Linked DNA regions of Drosophila melanogaster. The protein of the gene in region 3 purifies or fractionates together with the protein of the main gene of each other region. This does not show direct contact. Each region holds a gene or a part of one and is shown on either strand. Other genes may lie near its edges. The genes, in order: Rif1, His1:CG33825 and SuUR.

Region 1 (13,232 bases), on a different chromosome or scaffold from region 3:
GACCAGCGAGAATTGGAATGAGTATGCCAATGGCAATGCGAACGGAACGATTTTAGCGGCGGCCGTAATGGCATGTGAAAATGATTACATCAGAGTTTGAGTCACTTTTCCGCGACACTCGCCGTCGTTTTGCCGCTACCCGCATCCGCACTCGGCCAAGGCAAATCGGTTATTGAGCTCACCTAGTGCTCTGGATGCTATCTGATCCGATTCCGAATCCGAATTCGATTCCGGGCCTGGAACTGATGACCTGAGAACTGGTAGCGAGTCTCGTCCGTTTGGTTTGCCAGTTGCTGTTGCTCTGCGAAAACTGCACTGCATGCAGCTTTTTTTCCGCTCGAGAAAACTTTTGCTGCACTTCGTTGTGGCTCGTGCTCGGCGCCATCAGCTGTTGTGCCACGCCCTCCCACCCATCCGCCCCGTTTTGGCCCGGCTAATTAGCGAATTGGCAGATCTCAAGATGCTAGATAGACTCTCGTGCTGCGCAGCAGCTACTTGTTCTCGATTTTCCTTTTTTGCAATATCACGGTAATATCCTTAGTTTTGTCGTTTCCTAATGCATATGGGATAAATTAGTTTTGATTTGAGTACCAAGTGGTTTGGAATATCGAGCATTCTTATTTTTTGTGCAAACAGTAGTTTTTGACACTTAACCAGAATTAATTCAATTTTCACAAGCATCCTTAATCACTTCACCATAAATAAATATAGTTAAATGTAGGCAATTATGTCAGTACAGCCAACAATTTTCTCATTTCAACACTATTTACACATGCCGTATTTTATTTTGAAAAGTGTTATCCAAGAATGCGATAAGCATTAGTTTTTTTTATACAAGTTTATTCTGTGTCACAAATTGTTTCATCGAAAATTAAGCAAAATACCCGACGGATATATGTACATATTTATGTGGCTATAAACCGATCTCTATATAGGTGGCTTTCAAAAACCCCCCGCACATTTGCTTGTCTTTGTCTTTCTACCTCGTTTTTGGCACCTGCGAGATGCGCCCACGTTGTGTTCGCAGCGAATTTGTTCTGTAACTGGCGGCGGTCGGGCAGCGTATCTGATATTTTTATTGTTTCGCGCTCTTCGCTCGGCAGATTCAGATTATTCAATTATGCGGCGAGTGCTGCTGATAGGAACGCGGGCCAGCAAGGCTGCTCTTCCGTGAATTTCCACGGCTCGCCATCGAAATCGATTCGGGAACTAACCGCCTGATAAGAGAGGCCATTTCACAAGTGCCTCACGCGTTTCGAGGGCACCCGGCTTATGAATGAATCACATATGGATACGACCGGTCCATGGGGCGTATGAATATGTAGTATCTTTGTTGCGAGGGGAGGGTTAGACACATTTGACTGTGCTCTCGATCGGCTGACTGGCTGGCCGATTCCGCAGACAGAGAGCAGACGGAGCAGAAGACTTAAGTACGGACGGACTGCGTCATCGTACACGAGATGGCCTGGGTTAGGTAGGTCAGTTTCACTTGCGCAATTGGGCAAGAACTTTCCATCGCTATTTATATATATGGGCGGCCAGATCCGCCGATTTGGCGATCGGGATCCTACGAACAGCAGTGCTAAGTACAGACCTACAAACGACCTTGGCATTCCCAAATTAAAACGTCTGGCTAATTGTGCCGAAAGCGCACTTATCACGCCGCCTGTAACTGATACAAAGTATCCAACGTCTTTGTTGGAGCACCGACGGAGCACCTAACACGCATCCGTGGCGTGTAGAGCGCTCCGCCCACGTTGGAACATAATATTATATTGTAGTATTTGCACAAATGCCAGCGAAAGACGTCGCCGTAGACGTATTCCTACACACATGTATGCCATATAGTGTAGTGTATATATTTTAAAGATCGTCGGCGTCGCCAGTCGACGTATCTCTATCTGCCGATGTCGGCGACGACGCGTTGTTTGCTAGCACGTGAACATTATCAATGGATGCGGCGGACATGGCGGGGTAATTTGACTTTGCCGCGACCAGAACAACAAATCAACCAGATAGGGTTGGGCCGGCACCAGTGGAGGTTTCTACGTGGAGCTTGCCCTCCACTGAAGGTGCCACTACCTGACCCCCAAAAGTATCCAGCATAATCACAAGCACCTAAAAAGCGCAACTCTAAGACTTTGGAATGCCCTACACCTATTCAGCACCACTTTATCACTCAGAATAGTCGTTTCAATTCCATCATGATTACCTGACAATATTTGATCAATGTACCATTGAACTCGCTGAATAGCTAACACGAAGTTAACACAAATCATACTAATTATTTATCTGCCTGATGGGAAACGTATCTGTCACGTCACTTTTGACGTACTGATAAGATTTCCCTAGATTATATGGCAATCGATTACGATTTTAGGTAACATTGTCTGCAGTGTGGACTTTTGAGTATATGAACTCCCAGAGTTAAATACACTAATTTTAATTCGAAAACAAGTTAAAATAATTGTCTGGGTTTTCTTATCAAATTCGTTCCTTTTGCTGTTTTCCTTTATCTATAGGAATTATGATCGATGTACTTAAAAATAAATAAGTTCTCCCACCAATATATATATATTATCTAATATATTGATGACTTTCTACTTTTTATAATAATAAAATATTAAATTTATTGTAAGAATATGAAGCAAGTTTTTGCAGCAAAACATAATACACCAACGGGCATAATATAAATCTTAAACATAATGCAATTTAAACTTAACTATCTAGAACCAACTAGTTACAATCGAACTTCCCATACTTAATCGAGTTCAATGGCCAAGTGCTTAATATTTCATTCGTAATTTCAAGTCAGGTCCAATCTATAAGTTTGATGAGGAGTCGGCCGCGGTCTCGGCCACGTTGTCAGGGCTTCCAACGGCGGATACGACGCCCTTGGAGATGTGAGTGGAGGTGCTGTTGTTCCGCTCCCGACGCGTACGCATCAGAAGGTCAATGAGATCGAGGAGCAGGTCGTCACCGGGGCTGCACTGCACCATCAGTTGTTGTACGAAGGCCAGGCGCTCAGAATCGGAACGTGGGCCGCTTTTCAGAATTTCGGGTACCTGGGCCAGCAGCCCGTTGCGGCAACTTGCGCTGATCTTGGACTTGGCGCATACGTACTCCAGCACAGAGGTCGGGTTCAGGCGGTCGCACACCACCGACGACAGATTCTCGCGCACAGCGTGGTCCAGGAAATCCTTGGAGTGGTTCTCCGACAGAGTCTCTAGCACGTTGGTCTTAAGTTTTTCGTTTGCCGTCATTTGGGCGGACAGAAACTTAGCCAACATGCCGGCGCTCTTCAGCGGACTCTTGTCAAAGTAGCGCTGCAAAACCGACTCCAGCGGTAATTGCGCCACCGCCAGATCAAGAGCGGCTTCTGGATCCATGATGGCTAGATCCTGGCCGGCTGTCTCGAGTTCAGACTCCACTTCCATCGCCTTGACGGGTTCTTCGGATATGCTAATGTTGTGCGCGTTGCCTGTGTCGTTCCACTTTAAGCTGGTGAAAGCATCCTCCTCGGGTGCTTCGCCAGTGGATTTGTCCAGGCTCTTGTCCGTCGTCGCTGTTCTGGCCGTCTGTTCGCTAGCGAAACGCTCTATTTCGATTATGCTGTCTAACCGACCACGTCTCCTCAACGCCTGGCGCATCTCGGTGGTCTGGGCCACCTTGTCCATAAGCAGACAGCGTTTGGGCTTCAAACTGCTGCGCGTCTCCTCAGCATCGCGTAGATACTCCTTGGTGACGGACACCGGTGGGTCGTGGAAACTAACTCGCTTACGCTTTAGAGCCGGCGAGTCCAGAGTAACATCATCGAGACTTTCGCATCGTAGCTTGCGCTTCAAGATGCTTACGGAGGGACTGGCCGATGGGGATGGCAGTCGTTTGGAAAACACCAATAGATCCTTCGAGGGAGGTGCCTGAATCGGTGTGGAAGTGTGATCCGTGCCCGTCAGCTCGTTTAGCTCGCTGGTGGGAGTGGACACCTGCTCGGCGCGATCCTGGGCACGGGCCGGCGTCACTTGGTGAACCAGGCGCGAAGTAGACATGCACGCATACGGCGAGCCGGAAGCAGCGTCCAGCTTCTTGTTGCGAATCATATTGATCAACTGAGCACCGCGTCCAGTCAGATGTCCCGTGGGCTTGGGCCGCAATGTTGGACTCGAGGAGTTGTTTGTCTGCTTGCGATCAGGTGGAGAGCTCTGCGAAAAGAAGGCGGAAATTAAAAAAGTTCATAAAAACATTGTAATAAAGTAACCGTTTTAACCAAGTCTAATGCGATTTACTTACCAAATTGTATATTCGCGTGCCTGATTTCTTTGGAGACATCTCACCGGCAGCCACAGCCCCCGCAGAAGCGGCAGGATCTCCGCTGCTTCCAGGCAGTTGGGTAGAGGGTACAGCTTCCAAGGGTACATCAGGCGGGGTCAGTTGTGTTGTTTCTGGAACAGGGTCGGGTTTCTTAACCGGTTCTGGCTGAGGCTCTGGCTCAGCTGCGACTTCCGGGAAAAGATCCTCGCTCTGCGCGATTACCACAACGGGGGTGGGTTTTGCAACCTTTGCCTGCTTAACGGCAGCTGCAAAAATTCAAGTGTTGGGATTAACATCCTTAGCTCACCTGTTACTTGTTTCACGTACCTGCTGTAGATTGAACGACCGGGGACGGTGGCAATTTCTTTGGCGATCTGAGCTGTGGTTCAAACGCTGGCTGTGGCTGAGCCACCTGTTCCGTTTCTTTTTGAGCCGCCCGTGTTCGCGTCTGACGCTTTGGCGGCTCCTCGGCAAGAGAAGCAGCCCTGGCAGCGGCCTCGAGTTCTTTTTGAGCTTGGGACTTACGCCCCGGTTTCTTTCGGATGGGTGTAACTACGTCAACTCTCACTGGTTCCTTCTCAGACTCCTCGCTGGCCGTTATATCGATCACCTCGCCGTTGTCATCCTTGCCGGTTAAGGCCAGCTCACCCTGTTTGCTCTTTGCAATAACCACCTTCTTAGGGGTCCAGGGCTTAATGGAAGCCGAGTCCTGAGACTGCGACATATCATTGTACAGAGCTGGAATGTCCGACTTTTCAGCGAAGCGCTCCTTTTGACGATCCGTCAGCTTCTCTGGATTCAGACTCCACACTGATGGGATGATCACGAAGAGATCATCTGCCTTAAAGAGTTCTTTGAGCTGATTGGCCATCGTCTTCATGGGTAGCTTGCGAAACTTTTCTTGAATTCCCCGCTTCCACTCCTCCAAGAATCCGCCTTCGCACTTCATCTTATTCCAGCACTGGATGCCAGAAGACAATGTTGGTTTCAATGAATCGAACACTACCATTAGTTCGTTTTGCCGCAACTCCACCACCAGGTTGCGGAGGGTGTTTAAACAGGCTTCGAGCGTTTTCTGGGAGGAGGGCTGCTCGAAAATGGTTTGAAGTAGCCCAAAAACGTCCTTATACAAAGGTGCCTCCTTACAGAGTCCAAACTTGATTAAGGAGGTCACATAAGCATCGAAGAGCTCTGCAAAGAGCGGTTCATCCTTGCTCTTTAGGAGGTCTGTAAGTGTGGCTTTCAGGTCCGTCAAGAACTTCTTCCTCCCCGGCGCGTTTTGGCCTGCGTTTACCAGTTGGCGCCATTGATCGCAAAAAGAGGCATCGAAGGAGTTGCTAGCACGCCGTCCCGCAAAGGCAGCCAGTGTCTGAAGTGGCCATAAAAGCCAAGTGTCCAAAAGGGAAGCGTTGTGTGCCACACGGTATTCAAGCGCATTGTTTCGCAGATAGTTGGACAACGCCTGCGACACCTGTCGCCACACCTGCAGCTTGAATGCGAATCCCTCAAAGTCCTCTTCGTCGTTGGCCTGCATCAGAAGCTCAGCGAAGGAGCCCAGCATCCGGAACTCGTTCTGATTGTTCGCCTCGATACGATCGACTGCGAAAATGCATGCGATACTTCGCTGCAGAATTGCTGCCGGAACTTCTGTCTTGGATTTCAGTACAAGTTTCAAGTAGGCCTCCAGAACATCAAGATGGTCGCTTCCAGACACACGCTCCATTACCAAGTTATCTGCGGCTATGGTATTGAAAAGAGCGCGTACAACTCGGCCACCGGAGTTATCTTCAGCCTGCAGGATTTTCTCGATTTCACTGCAGCACGCCACATTGAAGGGAGCAACTGCCAACCGAAACATGGCAAGGCACAGATTCCGCACGAGCAACTGCAGCAGGAGTTGTTCCGCTTCTGTGGCATCGTTCTCGGTAAGCAACTTTAAACCGGAAACGGCAGCGGCCAAAAGAGGTTTCCAATGCTGTTGGAATACCTCTACGCTCATCAGAGGCGAGGGCTGGACCAAGGTCTCCAAGCGTAGCTCTCTCATTAGACGCTGCAACGGTTCACTGGACTCCACGCCCCAAAGGGCCACAAGGCAGGGCAGGGCCAACTCCCGAGCCGTCTGGTAGTTGTGCGCCAGACCCGTAGCCAGATTTCGTGGACCTCCGCCTAGCATAAAAGCCAAAAAGTGCTCCACGGCGCTGTCAAAAGACTTGGGTAACTCGTGGTCCAGGCAGCTGAGCAGATACCACCACACTCGCAACTTGATGCCACTCACGTGCGAGGATCGCGATTGTGAAGTGCGCAGGGGGATCAGCAGCAAACGAAGCCTCTTCGCGGATGTCAGTTCGTCGTAGGCGGCAAAGATCTTGATGAGCACGCGCCAGCAAAGAAATGCCTCCGACCGCACACCATTATCCGGGTTGCGGAAGCCCAATTCAACCAGAGCCAAGAATTTGTTGATATATACACAGCCCCTGAGCAAATCCTCGTCCATGATTTGTACCAGCAGCGTCCATATTTTGTGCCAGTTGGAGTTCTTAGCATCGCGCATCTCCCCGATGATGATGGTGTATTTGTCGACAAATTCACTGCGGATCTGAGGCCAGCACTTGGCCGAGTGGATAACGGACACGTCAAGAGCCACCAGTGCCTCCGCAAGAGCTGCCACGGCACAGTCCTGGATCTTTCGGTCCGCATCGAACATAAGCGGCAGGATATCTCCCAGCCAGAACTCCACCAGTTCGTCATCCGTAAAGGAAGTGGCTATCAAACCGGAGCTTTTGCAGCTGCTGGCCAACAAGTCGATCATCTGGTGGTGCACATGGAAATATAGGTGGGGGGCCGGAGCTATAGTGAGATACATACTTGGCGCTGCAATTGGGTGCCCTACTTACGTTGCAATAATGCTGACGGCGGCCAGCAGCGAGCACTTCTTTCGCGGAAAGCTGCACCGTGCGGTAGGACTGCCCCGCCTGCGCGCCGAAGTCTACATCCATGGCTCGTACGCTGGATGATACGCTTATTTAATTATATTATTTTCTTCCGCCTGCGAACGCCACAAGTTATTTTCCCGCAGTTTTAAAGACTGTCGAAGAAAAAAGCGCGCGAATTGCTATGGCTAGAGGTGGCAAAAGCAGGTCGATATGTCATCGACAAGTTATCGCCGACAGTATGAAAATACCAAAATTGTGAAACTCAGAGTTGCCAGACTTGTGCAACGCCGGAAGTTAAAAATAATTTAAATTTAAAATCCTAGCAACATCACAAAGGACTACCGTTATTATTATTTTAGCTTTTACTCGTTTATTGCTTTTTACTCGATATTGTAGAGCTCAAGAACCGCCGTCCTCAACTGATTTCCGTAAAATAACTTTGTAACTGGCGGGACTCAATTGGATTTTTAAACATTTTAAACTCCCCAATTACAAGCTAAAAAGTATTTAAAACGTGGAATTGCAAATCATACAGAATCTGCACCTTTTATGGATCGACATAGTTGCAAAACACAAACTCGTTTAATTTTAAACATTTTTCTTTGTCAATTTTATTAGGAAATAATTGTTACACACAGAAATGAATATTATAATTGTCATTTCCCCCATTATTGCTCGGGACACGTTCTCTTCCTAATTAATTAGCTGAACACAATTTTGCGGCTGTGAACCGTCGAAAGCTTCGCCGGAAAAAGGTTAAATAAAAAACTGATAATTAAACTTGGTTTAGCAACAGCTATTACACATAATATATATATATATATTTGTCAATAGGTTATACATAAGGTATGCGTTTAATTGGTGCGCATAGTTATACTTGAATAATTAATAAAAATAATACACGTATTAAATATATATAAAAGACAACTAAAATGACCAAAAGGGGCTATTACACATGTATCGTATATGCATATATAATATATATGAATATAAATAGTGAAAAATAGTCAAAAACATTTTACATATACATATAGGGTCATACATACATACAGCATACATATAAGTATATATAGATTAGTATAAATTATTATTATTATGTAGATTTCTTTAAATGCGATTCGATTTTGTTTCGATTTTTAGGTCTAACTTAGGTCGGTAATTGTTAATTGTTAGAGATTTACATGCGACTACCCAGCTTAGATGTTGTTATCCGATTTATGTTTAGGTTTATGTTTCCTCAATTAGTTTAGATTAATTGTAATATTAGTTACGCTTCGATTTGCACACATTTAGTTTAATTAGGACTAATTCTAGGAAAACACTTGCAACAATTTGTTGGAAATTCGTTACACGTTTGGGGCCTTTGTTTCGTTACGATTCAATTCGATTCTTTGTGGTTTATTGGTTTGTTTCTCGATCCTTTCCGGTTCTATCAAAATACTTTATCCTTTGAGCAACTTAGACTAAAGAAGGTTTTCGTTATGCACTTATTATCGTTTACTCGTTTCTTTGAGACAACTGAACGGAGCGTTTAAAACGACCGTTGCAGGTTTTTGTATTTTGTAATGCGTGCGCTTCTGTGCGATTTTACTGTGTTTTGTTTTGTTTAGAACTTTAGTTTAGTTTATCATTATTTATCGTTTGTCATTCGACATTCGTCTGGTTACCATCTCCCAACAACTGTTTCGTTTTCTATCTACAAAAGGAATCTGTTCTACGTTCAATTTCCGAGCTCCTCGACTGGTTCCTCTGGCGGATGACGGATGGTGGGGGGATGGAGGGAATGTATTTGCTGCGGGACTCATGCTGGGCGGGTTGGGCGTTGAGTTCAGTTCAGTTCGAGGGGGCGTGGCACATGCAATGACTTGCTTAAAGCTTGTATACGCTGATGTGATTGAGAATGTCCTACATGGGAGGGGAAAATAGGGCACACAACGTGCGAAAGAAGGAACGGGGAAGAAGTGACGTGGGTCAGCTAATTTCCGGCGGAGTGTGGCAGGGGCTACAGTTGCGTCTCACATAAATACATAGATATCCGGATCGATCGATCGCCGTATTATGGTTCTGTTATTATGTACATCGCCTGGGTAGCTTGCACTAGTAAATTGATATATGCGAATATATAGAATACATGTGTAGCAAGGAAGTGTCCGCATTTGCGAGCACAATGTCGAAGGATAAGATAGATATATAAATGTATATATAAATATATATAAGGAAGCGGAAGGGGACGAAAGCAAATCGATGCCGCTGTGTTACATAGATTATGCGATTAATATATGGCATATGGCATATGGTACGAGTACGAGTATATATTCGAGTATATGAGTGCTAGTAGTAGAAGAAGGACCTTGCATCCCGAAGGCAGCTAGCCAGCCTCCATAGACTGCATGATGATCATGACGATGCAGGAAACGGGGATTGGGTGGGGGGATGTGGGGCATTCGACACCGAAAATCGAATCCCCCTTGTTGTACTACCAGTGCATCATGCGCAGCTGATCGAGGATGCGTTGCTTGAAGAAGGTGCCCAGCATGCCGAAGACCGTCGACACGGCGGCCACGCCCATCATGACCTGCATGATGCAATGGATGCCAGACAGTTCCTCCTCCGACTGTTGCCGATGACGATGTCGCGCCCTATGGTGGCGCCGACCACCATTCTCCTGCAGCCGCTGTAGACGCTCCAAGTCCTCGTCAAACTGTGGCACAATGGCCAGATTGATGACTTCCGTCTTGGAGAGCAGCTGCTCGTTGGCTATGGTGTGTGCCTCGGTGGCTCCCTTGCTGGTGGCCTCGTTGTGCTCCTTGTCCCGCTCCCGCTGCTTTTCCAACTCACGCACCCGCGACCGCTCGTCCAGCATCGTGTTGTCACGGCTGAAGTCAAAGTCGTGGGTGCTGGGGATCAGCGGCGTCTGGAGCGTCCTTCCGGATGTCGGGAACTCAGCCAGGTTCACCTTGGCTAGGAACTGATGTCCGGAAGCGGGACTACGGGACGTGGCCTCCGGCAGTGGAGGCGGAGGCTGTTGCGTGGGCAATTGGTCACGCACCCGGGTCTCCTGGAACTGGTTCTTCTTGATGCCCAGAACCTCGGACAGTGGCCTGTTGATCATCGGCAGAAGCGAGTCGGAGGTGGGCCGAATTATAAATGACCCTCCTGGCTGGACGTTATCTGGAGGCTCCAAAATCTCTGGCTGCAGTGGCTTGGGCGTGGAGGCCACTGGTGAGGACTTTCCAGCACTAGTTTCACCTTTACTGTCCTCGGTATCCTCGCTGTCCGTGTAGACAGAGTCCTCCGCCGAGGAGGAATCTTCGGTTTTAGGCTTTGACTCCTTGGCCGGCTGTCCCGAAAACTTGTGCGTCAGGTTGCGTATGGGCTCGTACTTGGAGCTCTCCGAGTCTCCGCGATAGAGCAGCGCCACCTTGCCATCGGGCGTCAGAACAGGTGTAATCTTGGGGTGGGGCGACGGAAAGCGATGACTGCTCTCGGGGTCCGGTGACAGGGCGTCGAAGTCGGTGAGCGCCGGCTTCTTTTGCTGCTGCTGTTGCGCATCCTTGTCCGGACTTTGATCCTTGTCCGTCTGCTGGTACACAATGCTCACCTTGCCCAGCGGCGTGGAGATGATTTTGATGGCATCGTTGCCGTTCTTGCGGTGATACGGACCGTTCTTGCGCTGTTGCTGCTGGGAGCCAAAGAAGCCGCGCCCCTGGTTCTCCCCCGTGTCGGCGAACTCGTCATCGACGCCGTCATCGCCGTCCTCGCCATCCTCGTCATCGTTGGCAAAGTGGCCGCTGCTCTCGCGCAGATCTATCGCAGTGCTCGGCACGGCCACCGCAACAGCCGTTTCCGGAGCCGCCTGTGCTTCTGTGAGCAGCTTCTTGCGGATATTCTCCAGCTGAGTCTCGCGGAAGCTATTGCTCGGCCGGAATCGCGATCGAAAGCCGCCGAAACCACTGCCCTCTTCGTTAAGGAAATGCTCCTCGTCGGGCCTGGGTCTAACCGTTCTTGGCCGCTCCATGGCGATACGTTCGTCATCCTCGTCGTAACCCATGTCTTCCTCTTCATCTGGCACACTTACCAGACCTTTGGGATCGGGAAGCTGCTCTGGATCCTCCTCCCCATCCTCCTCGTCTGCATAATCATCATCGAGACCATCGTCATCGTCGTCATCGATGGTGTCGTCGTAGAGATCGGACTGCATGCCGTCCGTGGGGTAATCATCACTCTCGTCCCTCACCTCCTCCGTTGTCTCCCCCGCGTCAGCACTCTCCTCCGCTTCATCCTTCGTCCCCCTAACATCCGTGCTATCCCTAGTGCTATGGCTAAGACTATCGTTACTATAACTACTACTATAAGTTAGATTTAAACCTGTTCCTAAACTAACATCTAAGCTGCTATTGCTCCGTTCGAGCAATTGGGTAGTCGCATCTTTCAGTCAGTAGCATTTCTTGGTGCATCCGCACTTGCGCACGATGTCCAAGTTCTTGATGTACTTGCGGTTGTTGCTGCACACCATGCGCACCTGTAGGCAAAACGGGCAGATTGATTAGTTTTAAACACCAGGACATATTGTATATTCAGATTCACTCACCTTGCGCCGTCTCACAATTTTGGCCGCGCAGCACTGGTTGCCGCAGCCGCCCACGCACTTGGCGTACTTCAACGGCTGCCTCGAGCGACAGTCGTTCTCCGTGTAGTACTCGCGCACCTGCTCCTTGCGACAGGTGGACGCCGCTGTGGGTGGAAGGAAAGAGTCAACAGAACGCAATTAGTCGGCGAGCTAAGGCAGTGGCTGCAACGTGAGTTGCGGTCGGATAATTAGAACTAACAAAGTGCACAGTGTCGTCTCCGCCCCCCCCCATCAAAAACCCCACGATATTTCCCTTTGATGGATGAGTAGCGTGAAAAGCGAATGTCATGAATATGCGTGTGCGTATATGTGTCAATAATTAAAGCTTGCTGGTGTAGTATTAATATTTAGCATGTGCCACCATATGATTAACGCTTAAGAGTGAGGTGAACACCTCTGCCGTGTTTCTTGGCTATTTATGAAATTGCGATTCTGATATAAGTACCTTTTTTTTTAAATAAAATCACGTTAGTACCGTAATTCTAAATTTTTCAATGAGGTTGTTTGGTTTTGTTTTCTTGAGAATTTTAAGCCTACAATTCTTTTTGAAAAATTAAGCTGAGTACCCATCTACTTTTACCACATATTCACAGTCAAAACAAAACTATATAGATCTTAAATGCCCTACTCAGTTATGTCATATTTTTTGGTTAGTAGTGAATGGTGTACACCCGGGTGTGAGTTGTGAGTAGCAAAAGCATGATAGATGTATGTACCGGTGACTGTTGGGGGCTCAGTGCTGCCCTCACCTTGATCGCAGTAGCGGCCGCGCTGGCCGTGCTTGCACTTGCACTGGTAGCCGTCCCTGGCATTGGAATTCGGCACACAGCGACTGCCCCGACGGCATTTGTTCTCCAGGCAAGGATCCACCGGCTCCTGAAAATGGACAAAATTGTTTAGCTAAAGCCTTCTCTAGTGGTGATTACAGGACAACCCACCTCTTTGATGTGCGGTGTCTCGTCCATGAAATCCTGCTCGTCGTCTTCCTCCTCTTGCTGCTCTCCTTCGAGCAGGGCACATCCTGGTGTGATCTTTTGCTGGCGCTGGGCATTGCCAAAGTCGACCAGCTTATGATTGATCCACACCTCCTTCATGCAGCCCTTAAAGCTGGTAAGGTTGCGTATTTGCCAGTTCTTGTACGCCTGCTGTGCAGGATCCACGGGTAGGCCGCCCAGGAACATGGGCGTCGTGAGTTTCAGGTAGTCGTTGGAGCCCTCGTTGATGATGGAACGGGCCAATCCGCGATCCACGCGCAGCGTGAAATTCTTCTTGATGGCCAGAAGCTCCACGGCATGGTACTTTCCATCGGCCACCATCTCAAAGCTGTACATCGTGGACACAGGGTGATTACCCACATC
Region 2 (9,260 bases), on a different chromosome or scaffold from region 3:
ATTATTTTCTGTTATTTTATAAATATTGCCGTCATCAATGTAATTTCATTAATTTCAAACTGTCTTACACAGAATTCAGATTTTTTTTTTAGATGTTTAAGGTTCAGAGTCCCTTGCCCCGCACGACACTTTCACTGCTTTAAAGGATGTTCGCACAAAGAACAAATAAAAATATATATTTTTGTATTAACCTCTTCTTTAATTTAATAAATGTTGAGCTGACAATTAAAATAAGATTATTTTTATTCCTTCTCTGGCAGAATTAGTATTTTTACATATGATTTAAGACCCAGTACCGTTTGCGCCATAAATAATAGAATATGAATTTTGTTCTTATTTTTTTAAGTTATAAATAGTCGGCCACAGAAAATTTTATCTCATTGAATCTGGTTTGTGGTCCTGAAAAGGACCGATTATAGAGTACGCTAGCGCTTTATCTGCAAGTTAATGCCGTGTCAGCTTAAGCACGCTCGCCGCGAATGCGTCGCGCTAACTGGATGTCTTTGGGCATTATGGTGACACGCTTGGCATGAATGGCACACAAGTTGGTATCTTCGAAGAGACCAACCAGGTAGGCTTCGCTAGCTTCCTGCAGAGCCATAACCGCCGAGCTCTGGAATCGCAAGTCCGTCTTAAAGTCTTGAGCGATTTCACGCACCAGACGCTGGAAAGGCAGCTTGCGGATTAGAAGCTCGGTGCTCTTTTGGTAGCGACGAATTTCACGCAAGGCCACGGTTCCAGGGCGATAGCGGTGGGGCTTCTTCACACCTCCGGTGGCTGGAGCACTCTTGCGAGCGGCCTTAGTAGCCAGTTGTTTGCGTGGCGCCTTTCCACCAGTCGATTTGCGAGCAGTTTGCTTGGTACGAGCCATCTCCGATTTGGGTTTCACTAAAGTTCACGTTCACTACTTCACGTTTGAAAACACAATAAACGATCAGAGCATTTGCTACCTACTTATATAGCAATCCTGGACGGTGAAAGAGAGAGAGAGAGAGAGAAAAACAGAGGCCATTTCATTTGACGAGCGAAAAGCGAACGAACATATCGTTCGTACTCTCTCGGGTTTTTGTCGTTTTACCTATAAATAGGGGCACACAGAAACGTTGAAATTAGTTCTTTAGTGACTTTCGTGCTGTGCGTGTATAATAGTATAGAACAGTGAAAAATGACTGGTCGTGGTAAAGGAGGCAAAGGCTTGGGAAAGGGTGGCGCCAAGCGTCATCGCAAAGTACTGCGTGATAACATCCAAGGTATCACGAAGCCTGCTATCCGCCGTTTGGCCCGTCGAGGCGGTGTGAAGCGCATATCTGGACTCATATACGAGGAAACGCGTGGCGTTCTGAAGGTTTTCTTGGAGAACGTAATTCGTGATGCCGTGACCTACACGGAACACGCCAAGAGGAAGACAGTTACAGCCATGGATGTTGTGTACGCTCTGAAGAGGCAAGGCCGCACCCTCTACGGATTTGGCGGTTAAAAAGTGTACATCCTGTGTACCCCTATTAAGCAATCGGTCCTTTTCAGGACCACCATTCAGTTTTTAAAAGGAGGAAGATTTTCAAAAAGTATTTAATTTTATTGGTCGGGACTCCCAAAAAATATGTTAAACTAAAAATAAATGTCTGTCGTTCGTACTCTTTCAAATAGAATGTGTATATTTCTAACATGGATTTGTACAGACTGTACAAATGGTTTCAGACACCGCATGTACAGCATCACATCGTGGTGTGCGATTGTTTAAAGAAGCAAATTATAGTTTATACCGCATATAGTAGAAAACCCTTACTACATTACCATCTTTACGTTAATAATTCTTTATGATTTACTAATTACAACAAATTGCCAAGCTAAAAAATTTTTCAATTCTTTGGTAATAATTTGGTCGTCCTGAAAAGGACGGTTTGATTGACGATTTTATGTACATGTAGGTTTTTAGCTTAGCCTTTGAAACGTTTAGGCCTTCTTCTCGGTCTTCTTGGGCAACAGAACAGCCTGTATATTAGGCAACACGCCACCTTGTGCAATTGTGACGCCGGAGAGCAGCTTGTTTAACTCCTCGTCGTTGCGGATGGCCAGTTGCAGATGACGCGGAATAATTCTAGTCTTCTTGTTGTCACGAGCAGCATTGCCAGCCAACTCGAGAACCTCAGCGGCCAGATATTCCATTACGGCAGCTAGGTAAACTGGAGCGCCTGCACCAACACGCTCTGCGTAGTTTCCCTTCCGGAGCAAACGGTGAATACGGCCCACAGGGAATTGAAGACCGGCACGGTTTGAGCGGGACTTTGCCTTTCCCTTCACTTTGCCACCTTTTCCACGTCCAGACATTTTGCTTTGCGTTTATTTCACTTAGTTCACTTTACGCACGGAACACGAATGCTCGCCTAACCCAGACAGCGAAATATTTATACTTTTCCGTTTGCCTGCGCATTCAGTTAGGGGTGGGTGACTTAGACCTGAATTGACTGCTCGAAAAAAAGTATAAACGTGAACGCGTTCGGGCCCACATTACGATAAGTGAATTGTGTTTGTGAAAATATAAGTAACGTGAACAATGCCTCCGAAAACTAGTGGAAAGGCAGCCAAGAAGGCTGGCAAGGCTCAGAAGAACATCACCAAGACCGACAAGAAAAAGAAGCGCAAAAGGAAGGAGAGCTATGCCATCTACATTTACAAGGTTCTCAAGCAGGTCCATCCTGACACCGGAATTTCGTCGAAGGCGATGAGCATAATGAACAGCTTTGTAAATGATATTTTCGAGCGAATTGCTGCCGAAGCGTCTCGTCTAGCTCACTACAACAAGCGCTCGACCATCACCAGTCGGGAGATCCAAACGGCTGTTCGCCTGCTTTTGCCTGGAGAGTTGGCCAAGCATGCTGTCAGTGAGGGAACCAAGGCTGTCACCAAGTACACCAGCTCTAAATAATTTTCTCCTGCGAATGCGGACAATAATCCAAAACGGCCCTTTTCAGGGCCACAATGTGTTATACCAAAGAAATGCATTTTTCAACCACCAATCATTGAATATGAATTTACAAATAAAACTTATTTACCCGCAATATGGGTAATTGGGTAATGTTCAAATAAATACAAAAAAATCGGGAACGAAAACTGAATGCGACCAACATGCAATGTAATTCATGACATGAAACGTTTTATTGTTGCTGCGAACGTCAGCTAATAAATAAGTGGAAGAAAATAAAAGTTTTTTTCTCTTGCAACGGAACGTTGTAGCCCTGAAAAGGACTTGTTTAAACAAATTTCAGATCTATAAAACATAAATCTAAAATTTTAATTGCGAACATGTACCAAATACTGCACTTTTTCACAATTTACTTTTTGGCAGCCGTAGTCTTCGCTTTCGGCTTCTTGGCGGTAGCAGAAACCGATGCTTTCTTCACCGTCTTTTTGGGTTTTGCAGACACCGCTGGCTTTGCCTTTGACGCTTTCGCTACTACAGCCTTTGGCTTCGCTGCAGTCACTTTCGCCTTTGTTGCGGCGGGCTTCGACTTTATGATTCCAGTTTTCTTGGCATCCTTGGCTTTTGCCTTCTCAGTTTTCTTATTTTCGGCAGTCTTTTTGGTAGCCACAGCCTTCTTAGCTTTGGGCTTTTTGTCAGCAGCCCCAACGGCAGTTTTTTTGGAGGAGACACCAATCTTCTTAGAGGCTACCTTCTTGCTTTGAACTTTTTTCTCAGCAGACAAAACCTTCGACTTTGCCTTCGGATCCTTTTCCTTCTTGGCAGAGGCCGACAGTTTGAAAGATCCAGATGCACCCTTTCCCTTAGTTTGGATAAGCTTTCCATTGACCACGGCCGATTTTAAGTACTTCTTGATGAATGGCGCTAACTTTTGGGCGTCGCATTTATAAGTGGCAGTGATATATTTTTTGATTGCCAGAAGTGATGAACCGCCACGTTCCTTTAAATTTTTAATGGAAGCGTCCACCATTTGCTGAGTTGGCGGATGTGACGGCGTCGCAGAGGCTTTCTTTGCCTTTGTGCCAGCAGATCCAGATGCCTTTTTTTGGACCACTTTCTTCTCAACTGTCGCTGGTGGGGCAGCCACTGGGGAAGCGGACGTTGCAACTGCAGAATCAGACATCTTTTTTTCACTGAGAACACTTTTTTTCTGTTAAAAATGGCTCGCGCTCGGCCTACCAACCTCCTTTGCTCTGATGAGAATCGAGGAGGAGAGCACTTTAACAATGCTACTGACATCAGTCATTTACTATGTCGAAGTTTGCTTGAAGTGTAAACTCTTTTTAATTTTTTAGTATTTTAAATCATTAATAAAAATAAGGTTTTAATAGTTTTACAATTTTAAATAATTTTTTCGTCACTTTCCATTTTTAAAAGGATGTAATATGGGTTTTGAGACTTTCAAATGTTGATTGAATTTTTATATTCGAATTTTTAACTGGACCAATTTATAAAAAAACATCTAATAAAATAAGAATCATCGCAAATATTTCACTAATTCGTAATGTTTATTAAAATTGAAACGTTCATCCCCTAGAAAGGGCTTCTGAAAGAAGCGTCTATTATTAATTAAGATACTTTATCACTTGATTTAAGTTCACATTGAACTACAGAAAAATTTGCTTTAAAGCAGCATTCAGAAATAATTTTCGATCGTTAAAAATACAGATACTTTCTTAAATAACATAATATTAATATAATAAATAATATTTTCTTAAATTATTAATGTGTTTGCTTGTTATTAATGTGTTTTCATGCATATTTTAAAATAATTTGTTCTGAAATCAATCGATTTCCTCGCCACATATGCATTACCGTCTATGTAGTCAAATAAATAAATCAAATAAAAAATAAAAAGAAACAATTTTTGTATTATCCTTTATTATGTAATATATATTACATTCCGCAACAAAATTAACCAATTTCCGTGCTGAATTTTACATAGGTTTTATTTTTTACAGACGTTTGAAGGGACAGTGTCAATTGTCCCGTACGACCTCTTCAATAATAACACATTCTTCAGTTAACACATGGAAAAAATATAAAATAGCTAGTTTTATTTTATTATTTTCTGTTATTTTATAAATATTGCCGTCATCAATGTAATTTCATTAATTTCAAACTGTCTTACACAGAATTCAGATTTTTTTTTTAGATGTTTAAGGTTCAGAGTCCCTTGCCCCGCACGACACTTTCACTGCTTTAAAGGATGTTCGCACAAAGAACAAATAAAAATATATATTTTTGTATTAACCTCTTCTTTAATTTAATAAATGTTGAGCTGACAATTAAAATAAGATTATTTTTATTCCTTCTCTGGCAGAATTAGTATTTTTACATATGATTTAAGACCCAGTACCGTTTGCGCCATAAATAATAGAATATGAATTTTGTTCTTATTTTTTTAAGTTATAAATAGTCGGCCACAGAAAATTTTATCTCATTGAATCTGGTTTGTGGTCCTGAAAAGGACCGATTATAGAGTACGCTAGCGCTTTATCTGCAAGTTAATGCCGTGTCAGCTTAAGCACGCTCGCCGCGAATGCGTCGCGCTAACTGGATGTCTTTGGGCATTATGGTGACACGCTTGGCATGAATGGCACACAAGTTGGTATCTTCGAAGAGACCAACCAGGTAGGCTTCGCTAGCTTCCTGCAGAGCCATAACCGCCGAGCTCTGGAATCGCAAGTCCGTCTTAAAGTCTTGAGCGATTTCACGCACCAGACGCTGGAAAGGCAGCTTGCGGATTAGAAGCTCGGTGCTCTTTTGGTAGCGACGAATTTCACGCAAGGCCACGGTTCCAGGGCGATAGCGGTGGGGCTTCTTCACACCTCCGGTGGCTGGAGCACTCTTGCGAGCGGCCTTAGTAGCCAGTTGTTTGCGTGGCGCCTTTCCACCAGTCGATTTGCGAGCAGTTTGCTTGGTACGAGCCATCTCCGATTTGGGTTTCACTAAAGTTCACGTTCACTACTTCACGTTTGAAAACACAATAAACGATCAGAGCATTTGCTACCTACTTATATAGCAATCCTGGACGGTGAAAGAGAGAGAGAGAGAGAGAAAAACAGAGGCCATTTCATTTGACGAGCGAAAAGCGAACGAACATATCGTTCGTACTCTCTCGGGTTTTTGTCGTTTTACCTATAAATAGGGGCACACAGAAACGTTGAAATTAGTTCTTTAGTGACTTTCGTGCTGTGCGTGTATAATAGTATAGAACAGTGAAAAATGACTGGTCGTGGTAAAGGAGGCAAAGGCTTGGGAAAGGGTGGCGCCAAGCGTCATCGCAAAGTACTGCGTGATAACATCCAAGGTATCACGAAGCCTGCTATCCGCCGTTTGGCCCGTCGAGGCGGTGTGAAGCGCATATCTGGACTCATATACGAGGAAACGCGTGGCGTTCTGAAGGTTTTCTTGGAGAACGTAATTCGTGATGCCGTGACCTACACGGAACACGCCAAGAGGAAGACAGTTACAGCCATGGATGTTGTGTACGCTCTGAAGAGGCAAGGCCGCACCCTCTACGGATTTGGCGGTTAAAAAGTGTACATCCTGTGTACCCCTATTAAGCAATCGGTCCTTTTCAGGACCACCATTCAGTTTTTAAAAGGAGGAAGATTTTCAAAAAGTATTTAATTTTATTGGTCGGGACTCCCAAAAAATATGTTAAACTAAAAATAAATGTCTGTCGTTCGTACTCTTTCAAATAGAATGTGTATATTTCTAACATGGATTTGTACAGACTGTACAAATGGTTTCAGACACCGCATGTACAGCATCACATCGTGGTGTGCGATTGTTTAAAGAAGCAAATTATAGTTTATACCGCATATAGTAGAAAACCCTTACTACATTACCATCTTTACGTTAATAATTCTTTATGATTTACTAATTACAACAAATTGCCAAGCTAAAAAATTTTTCAATTCTTTGGTAATAATTTGGTCGTCCTGAAAAGGACGGTTTGATTGACGATTTTATGTACATGTAGGTTTTTAGCTTAGCCTTTGAAACGTTTAGGCCTTCTTCTCGGTCTTCTTGGGCAACAGAACAGCCTGTATATTAGGCAACACGCCACCTTGTGCAATTGTGACGCCGGAGAGCAGCTTGTTTAACTCCTCGTCGTTGCGGATGGCCAGTTGCAGATGACGCGGAATAATTCTAGTCTTCTTGTTGTCACGAGCAGCATTGCCAGCCAACTCGAGAACCTCAGCGGCCAGATATTCCATTACGGCAGCTAGGTAAACTGGAGCGCCTGCACCAACACGCTCTGCGTAGTTTCCCTTCCGGAGCAAACGGTGAATACGGCCCACAGGGAATTGAAGACCGGCACGGTTTGAGCGGGACTTTGCCTTTCCCTTCACTTTGCCACCTTTTCCACGTCCAGACATTTTGCTTTGCGTTTATTTCACTTAGTTCACTTTACGCACGGAACACGAATGCTCGCCTAACCCAGACAGCGAAATATTTATACTTTTCCGTTTGCCTGCGCATTCAGTTAGGGGTGGGTGACTTAGACCTGAATTGACTGCTCGAAAAAAAGTATAAACGTGAACGCGTTCGGGCCCACATTACGATAAGTGAATTGTGTTTGTGAAAATATAAGTAACGTGAACAATGCCTCCGAAAACTAGTGGAAAGGCAGCCAAGAAGGCTGGCAAGGCTCAGAAGAACATCACCAAGACCGACAAGAAAAAGAAGCGCAAAAGGAAGGAGAGCTATGCCATCTACATTTACAAGGTTCTCAAGCAGGTCCATCCTGACACCGGAATTTCGTCGAAGGCGATGAGCATAATGAACAGCTTTGTAAATGATATTTTCGAGCGAATTGCTGCCGAAGCGTCTCGTCTAGCTCACTACAACAAGCGCTCGACCATCACCAGTCGGGAGATCCAAACGGCTGTTCGCCTGCTTTTGCCTGGAGAGTTGGCCAAGCATGCTGTCAGTGAGGGAACCAAGGCTGTCACCAAGTACACCAGCTCTAAATAATTTTCTCCTGCGAATGCGGACAATAATCCAAAACGGCCCTTTTCAGGGCCACAATGTGTTATACCAAAGAAATGCATTTTTCAACCACCAATCATTGAATATGAATTTACAAATAAAACTTATTTACCCGCAATATGGGTAATTGGGTAATGTTCAAATAAATACAAAAAAATCGGGAACGAAAACTGAATGCGACCAACATGCAATGTAATTCATGACATGAAACGTTTTATTGTTGCTGCGAACGTCAGCTAATAAATAAGTGGAAGAAAATAAAAGTTTTTTTCTCTTGCAACGGAACGTTGTAGCCCTGAAAAGGACTTGTTTAAACAAATTTCAGATCTATAAAACATAAATCTAAAATTTTAATTGCGAACATGTACCAAATACTGCACTTTTTCACAATTTACTTTTTGGCAGCCGTAGTCTTCGCTTTCGGCTTCTTGGCGGTAGCAGAAACCGATGCTTTCTTCACCGTCTTTTTGGGTTTTGCAGACACCGCTGGCTTTGCCTTTGACGCTTTCGCTACTACAGCCTTTGGCTTCGCTGCAGTCACTTTCGCCTTTGTTGCGGCGGGCTTCGACTTTATGATTCCAGTTTTCTTGGCATCCTTGGCTTTTGCCTTCTCAGTTTTCTTATTTTCGGCAGTCTTTTTGGTAGCCACAGCCTTCTTAGCTTTGGGCTTTTTGTCAGCAGCCCCAACGGCAGTTTTTTTGGAGGAGACACCAATCTTCTTAGAGGCTACCTTCTTGCTTTGAACTTTTTTCTCAGCAGACAAAACCTTCGACTTTGCCTTCGGATCCTTTTCCTTCTTGGCAGAGGCCGACAGTTTGAAAGATCCAGATGCACCCTTTCCCTTAGTTTGGATAAGCTTTCCATTGACCACGGCCGATTTTAAGTACTTCTTGATGAATGGCGCTAACTTTTGGGCGTCGCATTTATAAGTGGCAGTGATATATTTTTTGATTGCCAGAAGTGATGAACCGCCACGTTCCTTTAAATTTTTAATGGAAGCGTCCACCATTTGCTGAGTTGGCGGATGTGACGGCGTCGCAGAGGCTTTCTTTGCCTTTGTGCCAGCAGATCCAGATGCCTTTTTTTGGACCACTTTCTTCTCAACTGTCGCTGGTGGGGCAGCCACTGGGGAAGCGGACGTTGCAACTGCAGAATCAGACATCTTTTTTTCACTGAGAACACTTTTTTTCTGTTAAAAATGGCTCGCGCTCGGCCTACCAACCTCCTTTGCTCTGATGAGAATCGAGGAGGAGAGCACTTTAACAATGCTACTGAC
Region 3 (6,807 bases):
CACGGTGCAGTACACAGAGCGACTATCCCATTGGCCATACTGGCTGAATACGGCTACGGCCAAGTACGTGGTCACCAAGTCATTACCCGGAGTATCGCCCGTGGCCTATGCCATTAAGTCCACGCATCAGACTTGCTTCTTTGCCGGATTCTATTGCCGTAAGATAAGACGGAAGTGATATGAATGCCCTCGCTAATCGTAAATGAATCTCTATTGCAGTACAATCACTGAGTGAATTCACGTTCAGAAACTCCAATGGTGATACCTTTGCCCAGGAGAACATCCAGTATCAGTGTCCACCACTCTTGGGCGGCATGTGTAGGCGGGAACTGGAGTTCCAGCGCCAGGCGGTGATGCACAACTTAACGATAATATTCGGAAAACAGAGAGGATAGCATACCAGGATCTAGTTCAAATTTAAATCATATGTGCAAACAACTAATTGACTTACCTACCAATAATCTTAATTCCTAATAAAAAAAAAACACACACAATACTTTGTTTTTAAATGTAAACCCTGTGTTTATTTAACGATGATACAAAATTACACGGTACTTGCTTCTAAAAACGATATCTTTCGTTACTTTAAAATTGTTGAATACACTTTGAATGCGTATTGAAATAATTTAAAAAAAAAAAAACACGTCTAAATCAGGTGGCACATTTTGGAAAATGAATTGAGAAACTAGATAAACTTGTGAACTAATAATTTACCAATTATATCTACTTACAAGATACGCATACAATATTATGCAGTGTCTTTTCAATTTTATGGTAACCTTACTCTTCAAAATGCGCACACAAAGTATAATTTTAACTAAATTAGCTAGACGGTCCTGTGCAATTTGATTTTACAACCTCATATTTGGATGCTGTTAACTTTTGATTTCGTACTATATGTTATATATTCCTTCATTCATTATATATTCAATAATTGGATTTGATTTGATTTGGTTTTTGTCATTTTCATTGATTGCTGTTCATCACTTGAACAGTTCCAATCGCTTTCTTTTGGTCGGTCCTGATGCTCCACCACTTCTCGCCGATCGCGTTTGACAAGCTGCTGCACTTGTGGATGAATTCACCGGCGTACTTGGTGCACTAACCGATTCCACGGAGCTGGTCTGTGAGGCTCCACCGCCGAAGACGGAGCCAAACCAGCGTGTTAGTTTCGTGGCCTGAGTGGATTTAGCACCCTGTTTGGGAGATTTGGGTGACTTGCGCAGCGATGCAAGAATGGAATTGCGATTACCATTCGAAGGTTGCGTTCGCTCCTGCGTAATTCCAGAACCTATCAAATAATTGGTGATTTTATTGGCCTGCGACGGCCTGACGGACTGTTGATCCGGTTGCACGGGCGATACTTCGCCAGAGGAGTTCAATCGCATGCGACTGCCAAATTGGCCATTGTTCGTTATCTCAAAGAAGTCATCTTCCAGCAGGGTTCTTCTTCTCTGCGTAATGGTAGACTCTGCATCATCCTTCTGGGTCAGTGGCAAGGTTGGCAAGACTTTGGGACTAGTTTTAGCCGACTGCTGTTGTCGTGGCTCGAACATTTGCTCCAGGATATCCAAACACGAGCGATCTCGCTTCTTTTTTGGCACCGATATATTTACTTTCGCTAGCTGCTGCTGAAACTGCTTCACCTCAGAGCCAAAGATCTTAAAGCCTTCGAAGGGCGATGAGGGTCTTGGTTGCGCCAGCGGAATCTGCGAGTGTTCCGAGGATATGCTAAATAGATCTGGAGATTTGTTGGCACTCCTCTTGGCCGGTGGTAGACCCAATCCGCCGCCGAAACTTGAATTGACGGACGTCACGGGTTTGCGTTTTCTTTTCAAAGCCTTGGTGCGACGACTCTGCGATGGATCCTGCGGAGAACACTCATCGTGCGAGCTATTGATCACCACTGTCTCAACTGGATCTTTGTAAAGCGGAATAGACACCACCTCAGAATCGTTGAGCAAATTGTGTGTAGACGGCAAGGTTAGAAGCATTGGAGTTTGTTGAGGTGTAAAGGGCACACGAAAAGCGGGCGACTCAATGGCATCCAAATTGTCTGGTATTCGCTGAGCACATTGCATGTACTCCGAGGACAACGAGCTACCACTGAGAACTTGAGGAGTAGGTGGCAAGTGCTTTGAATTCGGCTTAGTCTTTGTCTTCCCCAAATCTTCAGTCTTGGTTTGGCATTTTCTCGGACGTCCAGGCTTTCGTTTCGCAGTTCCTTGAGCAGGTACATCCACCGTCTTCTGTTTCTTTTCCTGCCCGACTTTAGACTTAGGCTCCTGCTTCACTATTTGTTTGCTACTTCTGGGCGTTTGGTTACCCTCCAACTTGACTCTCCTTGGAAAGCTACGCTTGACATCATCCAATGAGCGATGTTTCAAGTACTTACTGTTTATTTTTGTTTCAGCGGATCGTGTTAGGCGCTGCATTCCCCTTGTGGCTGGACGACCCACATCCACTGGGCTCACCGTGCGCTTTTTCAGATTTTTTCTTCTAGCTGTGGGCTCCGTTTTGGGCGTTACGATCGCAGTAGTGGTTCTGGACGGTGGTGGTGTGCTCAGAGTATCGAGGGAAACCCTTAAAATTCGAACATTGAGTCTCCTTGTCTTAGGTGTCAGATGAACGGTGGCTGCACGAGTTCTCTTCCTTGGCGGCATATTATCGGTCGCTTCATCATCCTCTTCGGAATCGGTGAGATCAGCTTTTTTGCGCGGTGACGTTTTTTTGCTAAATTTTTTCTTTGATTTCGTCCTTGGTGATTCATTTAATGAGGGCGTTCGATTTTGCGGAGTACTTGGAGGTGTTACAATCTCACAATCATCGCTGGATACAACTAATACCGGGTTTTGATCTGCATCAGGTTCTACTGTTAGGGGTTCATCGTCAGACTCGGAATACTCGAATATCAGCGGTGACATTGCCACATCATCCACGCTGTGCTCGGATAACCTATCCGTTTCTTCAAAGAGCCCAGTTTTATTTTGCTGAGCCGGATTGTTGTCTATGGAAGCGATTGTAGAGCACACATCTGAGCCGCTTATTGTGCTCTGGCTGTTCTTTGAGGCCAACCAGAGATTCAGATTGTGTTTGTATTGCTCCGGTGCGACAAGTGGCAGTGACTTGTCGAATTGATGACGAAAACGACGCAGACGAAAGTCCCTACAAATTATATAAGTTATTTTCATATGCAACTGACTATTCCGGTCTTATGCAACAGTGAAACTGATCGTTGCTGGTTCACCTACTTGATGTACTCGCTGAGGAATCCCCGCTGCTTGTAGTATTCCTCGAGATCTATGCGCTTACTGAATACCTCCTTCGGATCTGGCAGATGGAATTTTCGATCGAAGCTCGCAAAGCTTTTGTACTGATGCTCCAGTCGGCCGCCCAACCGTAGAACATTGTAGAGCAACCTAACGTCGGACTGCAGAGAGAGAGAAACCACATAAGCTAAAATGATATAAACCATATTATGAATGCATTGCCTCACCGTAACGTCAACACTGGAGATAAGAACGTTTACCCGTCCCTCGAATTGCTTCAGCAGCATGGAAGTGCAAAAGCTGTTGTTCAGCGAATGCCCCCGATTATCCACCATAATGTAGTCGAACTTGAGGCGACTGAGATCTCCAATGCTCCGTAGTTGGCTCCATTTCGCCAGGTAAACGCTGTGCGGGGAGTCGGTGGTATCTGTAAAGGCAGAAAGTGAAGGTGTTGAAGTTTAATTTTTAAATGGCAATAATGTGAAATTACGATAACATTCTTATCAACAAATCCATTTAAATATTAGGCATTACCTTGCACCCCCTGAATGATGTACACCTGGAGGTCAGTGAGAGTGTCCAAATGGAATCGCCAACCGGTGAGCAGTTGCTCATCGTTCTGGAGCACCACAAGTGTTTTTTTGGCGGGTGGTAGGGCACTTAGAAGTGCCGCCACCGTAGCGACCTTTCCAAGGCCACTCTCATCATTCAGGATGCAGAATTCCCGCTTAGCCAAACGATCGTAGACGAAGCGGACGGCATCCAGTTGAAAGCTCTTGAGGTACTGCGTCACGTGGCTCGTGACCAGTGCCTCATCTGTGAGCCGCACCTCCGGCGTTTGCTCGGATACAAAGTGATACATGATCCTTCAGAGAATTCGAATCAATGGTGTGCGTGATGCAGGGCCAGATAGATGGCAACCAGGATGTAGAATAGTTGCAGGTACGAGAAGATCACGAACATCGAAAATGAACCAATTATCATCTTTCGCGCCGCAGACGGCCCATCGAATTCGATATTCTCCGGATGCAGTATGTCCACCACGTTGTAGTTGTTGTTGATGATAACAGGATGTTGGATCTCGTACATGTGTTGAAACTAGTTAAGCTTCAATTTTTTCGGAGGACAATTTTCGTCCCTTTTGGGAAATTGGGTTAAGCGCTGTTAGTCATGGCGGGGGCGCGGGAAAAGGCTTAACAATCGAACAAGAAGAAAATATTATTTTTGGCTCCAATTCTATTTCACCATTCACACAGAACCGGCTGCGTCTTGTTGGCGCGATCAGCTGTTGGACGTTGGTAGTGTTGGCAAACGAAGCAATGTCTAGAAATAGCCAAAAGAGATACTGCTCTTGATTAATAGCAAAATATTAAAAAAAACTTACTGAACCGACAAGGATTAGTAAAATACATTAGGTTGGAAACCTTTGGCGAGTAAAATGTTTTTAAATTAAATTATTTATTCTGCCAACTCAAAACTTGTGTAAGGAATTCATTTTTATAGCTGCATTTAGCTCATCACTGTTGCAACTGTTGTGATTTCGTTTGCGGTTTGTTTCGCATGGAATTTGTTTAAATTTATTCAGACCAAATTGCCATGGCTGTTGCAAAGAAGGAAAAATTTGAGGCAAAAAAGAAAAGCCCTGAAAAGGGAAAACAGCAGAAAGCCAAAGTTGTTCCTGTCACACCGCCACCAAATGTAAAACAACGAACTGTGGTCACTCCTTGGCGAGACACGTGCGTAGACAAAAAGTGGAAACAAATCCAATCCGTTGATAAAAACATTACATTTTCAGGCTGGAATTTAATACAACGTACAAATGGTTGTTTGGCAAGTCCAACACACCAGCCACATGGCGTCAAGCGCTCAGTAAAATCCGCATTTGGTGTCTGCGAAGAGGAAGTCTCTGCCCGGCAGCGGTTTTGGCCACATCGGTGCTTGTTCAGGCGCACTTGGAGGACCAGGAGGGCAGCGCCAAAATACAGGACACCTATGCCAGTGCCTTTACACGATTCTACAACTTTATGTCCTCCATTATCCAGGGACACAACATGTCCAGCATGTATGAAACGGCCAAGGAACTGGGCCTCCAGTCGTTCATCGTTGATCTGCGCCACTTGTGCGCCCATGGACAGGAGCTGCCGCCTGTGGAGGTGCTGAGAAACACCTCGAATCATTGTCTGGAGTGGCTGCGCACCTACTACTGGTTGCCACACATGGAAACCATGTCCAATTTGGATGCTGGCAAACTGCATCGCAAGGACAAGCTTAAGTTTGAAAAGGCTGTGACAGATCTTCTGGAGATCTACGATCTAACCCTGGAGTGCCATATCAAGGGGGCTGAGAAACTAAAGGCCATTAGCAAGCTAAAATCCAGTGGTGAATTCAATAAGATACGAGTCTACTCCTCCAGCAAGAAGGCGAAGACATCGAAAGAAATTCTGAGTGCTGTGTTAGGTGATCTAAGTGCGTTGGTCAAAAAGGAGTCATCATCGATGAAGGATCTGCTGGACATATATACAAAATGCCTGCTTAAAATGAAATACTTCCTTGGCGTTGGCTTGGAAATCGACGACAACGAGGATGTCATCATTGCAGCCACACAGGGACTCTTCCGTCTATTGGCCGTGCAGGGATATATCGAGAAGGTTTTTTTGGCCCTAGTTCAACTGAGTGAAAACCAAAACGAGTCGGAGCAAAGGCGTCTGGGAGCCAGCTACTGGGCAAAGAAAATGTTGGAAACATTTGGGATGCTGTTCCGTATGAAGCGCATGTACAAAGCCGAACTGGATTTGGTTAGTATAAATACGGAGTGTGTTAACGATGAAAACACTAAAATATTCTTTATTTTCCAGAACGATAAACTAAAACCAGCGGACTTTGCCACCCTAAACACGGATAAAATTTCTAAGACAATGCGCAGTCTGTTAGTACACTCAAATGCCGATCTCTCGGTTACCCTTATTTTTGGCGACAATCCCAAAAAGTCCAGGTCTTTGATTTTTGATCGTGATTTTATTATGCAGCGTGTTGATGCATTTAGCAATTACTCAGCGCCCATTCTAAAAGGGTAGGTATACATTTTTTTTTGGGTTTACTTGCTTTTGGATTAATAAGATTGACATTTTCTTAGATTATTACCGCTCGCAGATCCTCCATACACCAAGACGCAAATTGAGGATTTAACTAAACTCTGCGATGCACAGCTTGAAGAATTTTATGAAGAGGAAGCTATGGAAGAAGATAGCTCTTCAGAGGAGAGCAACAATCTAGACCGTTTGGAACGATTTTTGGAACAAGCAGCTCAAAGCAAAGAGCATACATCAGACTGGGGAGTTTGGAAATTAGACAAGCGTAAGTTTTGATTTGGCTTTGCATTTATGTGATTTGAAAATTAATCAATTATCGCTCTTACTGTAAATGCTATTTCCAGATACCGATTGGCCCAAATGTGCATTGGGTGTGCTCCCTTGGGCTCAATAAATACGCAGATTAATATTAAATAAAGTAATTAATAAAAACTAGTACTAGATCCAGA

Evidence for each region.
Region 1: the proteins of SuUR (region 3) and Rif1 purify together in Drosophila melanogaster (affinity purification with western blotting; one study listed by BioGRID). This does not show direct contact.
Region 2: the proteins of SuUR (region 3) and His1:CG33825 purify together in Drosophila melanogaster (affinity purification with western blotting, with the first as the bait; one study listed by BioGRID). This does not show direct contact.

What each region holds. Positions count from the first base shown.
Region 1 is NT_033778.4:15,861,700-15,874,931, forward strand, and holds Rif1 (Rap1 interacting factor 1), read right to left. Parts: upstream 7,449-13,232; 5' UTR 7,308-7,448; coding exon 7,206-7,307; intron 7,121-7,205; coding exon 4,639-7,120; intron 4,578-4,638; coding exon 4,291-4,577; intron 4,203-4,290; coding exon 2,823-4,202; 3' UTR 2,610-2,822; downstream 1-2,609. Other genes in the region: sli (slit), read right to left, coding at 11,680-11,766, 11,836-11,978, 12,591-12,750, 12,813-13,232. UniProt on the Drosophila melanogaster protein: Regulates the timing of initiation of DNA replication. Functions in copy number control by promoting the underreplication of DNA, which is found in many late replicating euchromatic regions of salivary gland polytene chromosomes.
Region 2 is NT_033779.5:21,466,261-21,475,520, reverse strand, and holds His1:CG33825 (histone H1), read right to left. Parts: upstream 4,263-9,260; 5' UTR 4,104-4,262; coding exon 3,333-4,103; 3' UTR 3,240-3,332; downstream 1-3,239. Other genes in the region: His3:CG33827 (histone H3), read right to left, coding at 461-871; His4:CG33893 (histone H4), read left to right, coding at 1,166-1,477; His2A:CG33826 (histone H2A), read right to left, coding at 1,954-2,328; His2B:CG33894 (histone H2B), read left to right, coding at 2,555-2,926; His3:CG33824 (histone H3), read right to left, coding at 5,504-5,914; His4:CG33895 (histone H4), read left to right, coding at 6,209-6,520; His2A:CG33823 (histone H2A), read right to left, coding at 6,997-7,371; His2B:CG33896 (histone H2B), read left to right, coding at 7,598-7,969; His1:CG33822 (histone H1), read right to left, coding at 8,376-9,146. UniProt on the Drosophila melanogaster protein: Histones H1 are necessary for the condensation of nucleosome chains into higher-order structures.
Region 3 is NT_037436.4:11,062,719-11,069,525, reverse strand, and holds SuUR (suppressor of Under-Replication), read right to left. Parts: upstream 4,536-6,807; 5' UTR 4,359-4,535; coding exon of another isoform or gene 4,152-4,358; 5' UTR 4,132-4,151; coding exon 3,804-4,131; intron 3,697-3,803; coding exon 3,497-3,696; intron 3,431-3,496; coding exon 3,252-3,430; intron 3,166-3,251; coding exon 984-3,165; 3' UTR 501-983; downstream 1-500. Other genes in the region: CG6310 (uncharacterized protein), read left to right, coding at 1-158, 220-395; CG45101 (uncharacterized protein), read right to left, coding at 4,152-4,358; CG32075 (uncharacterized protein), read left to right, coding at 4,866-5,005, 5,065-6,064, 6,125-6,339, 6,403-6,623, 6,703-6,752.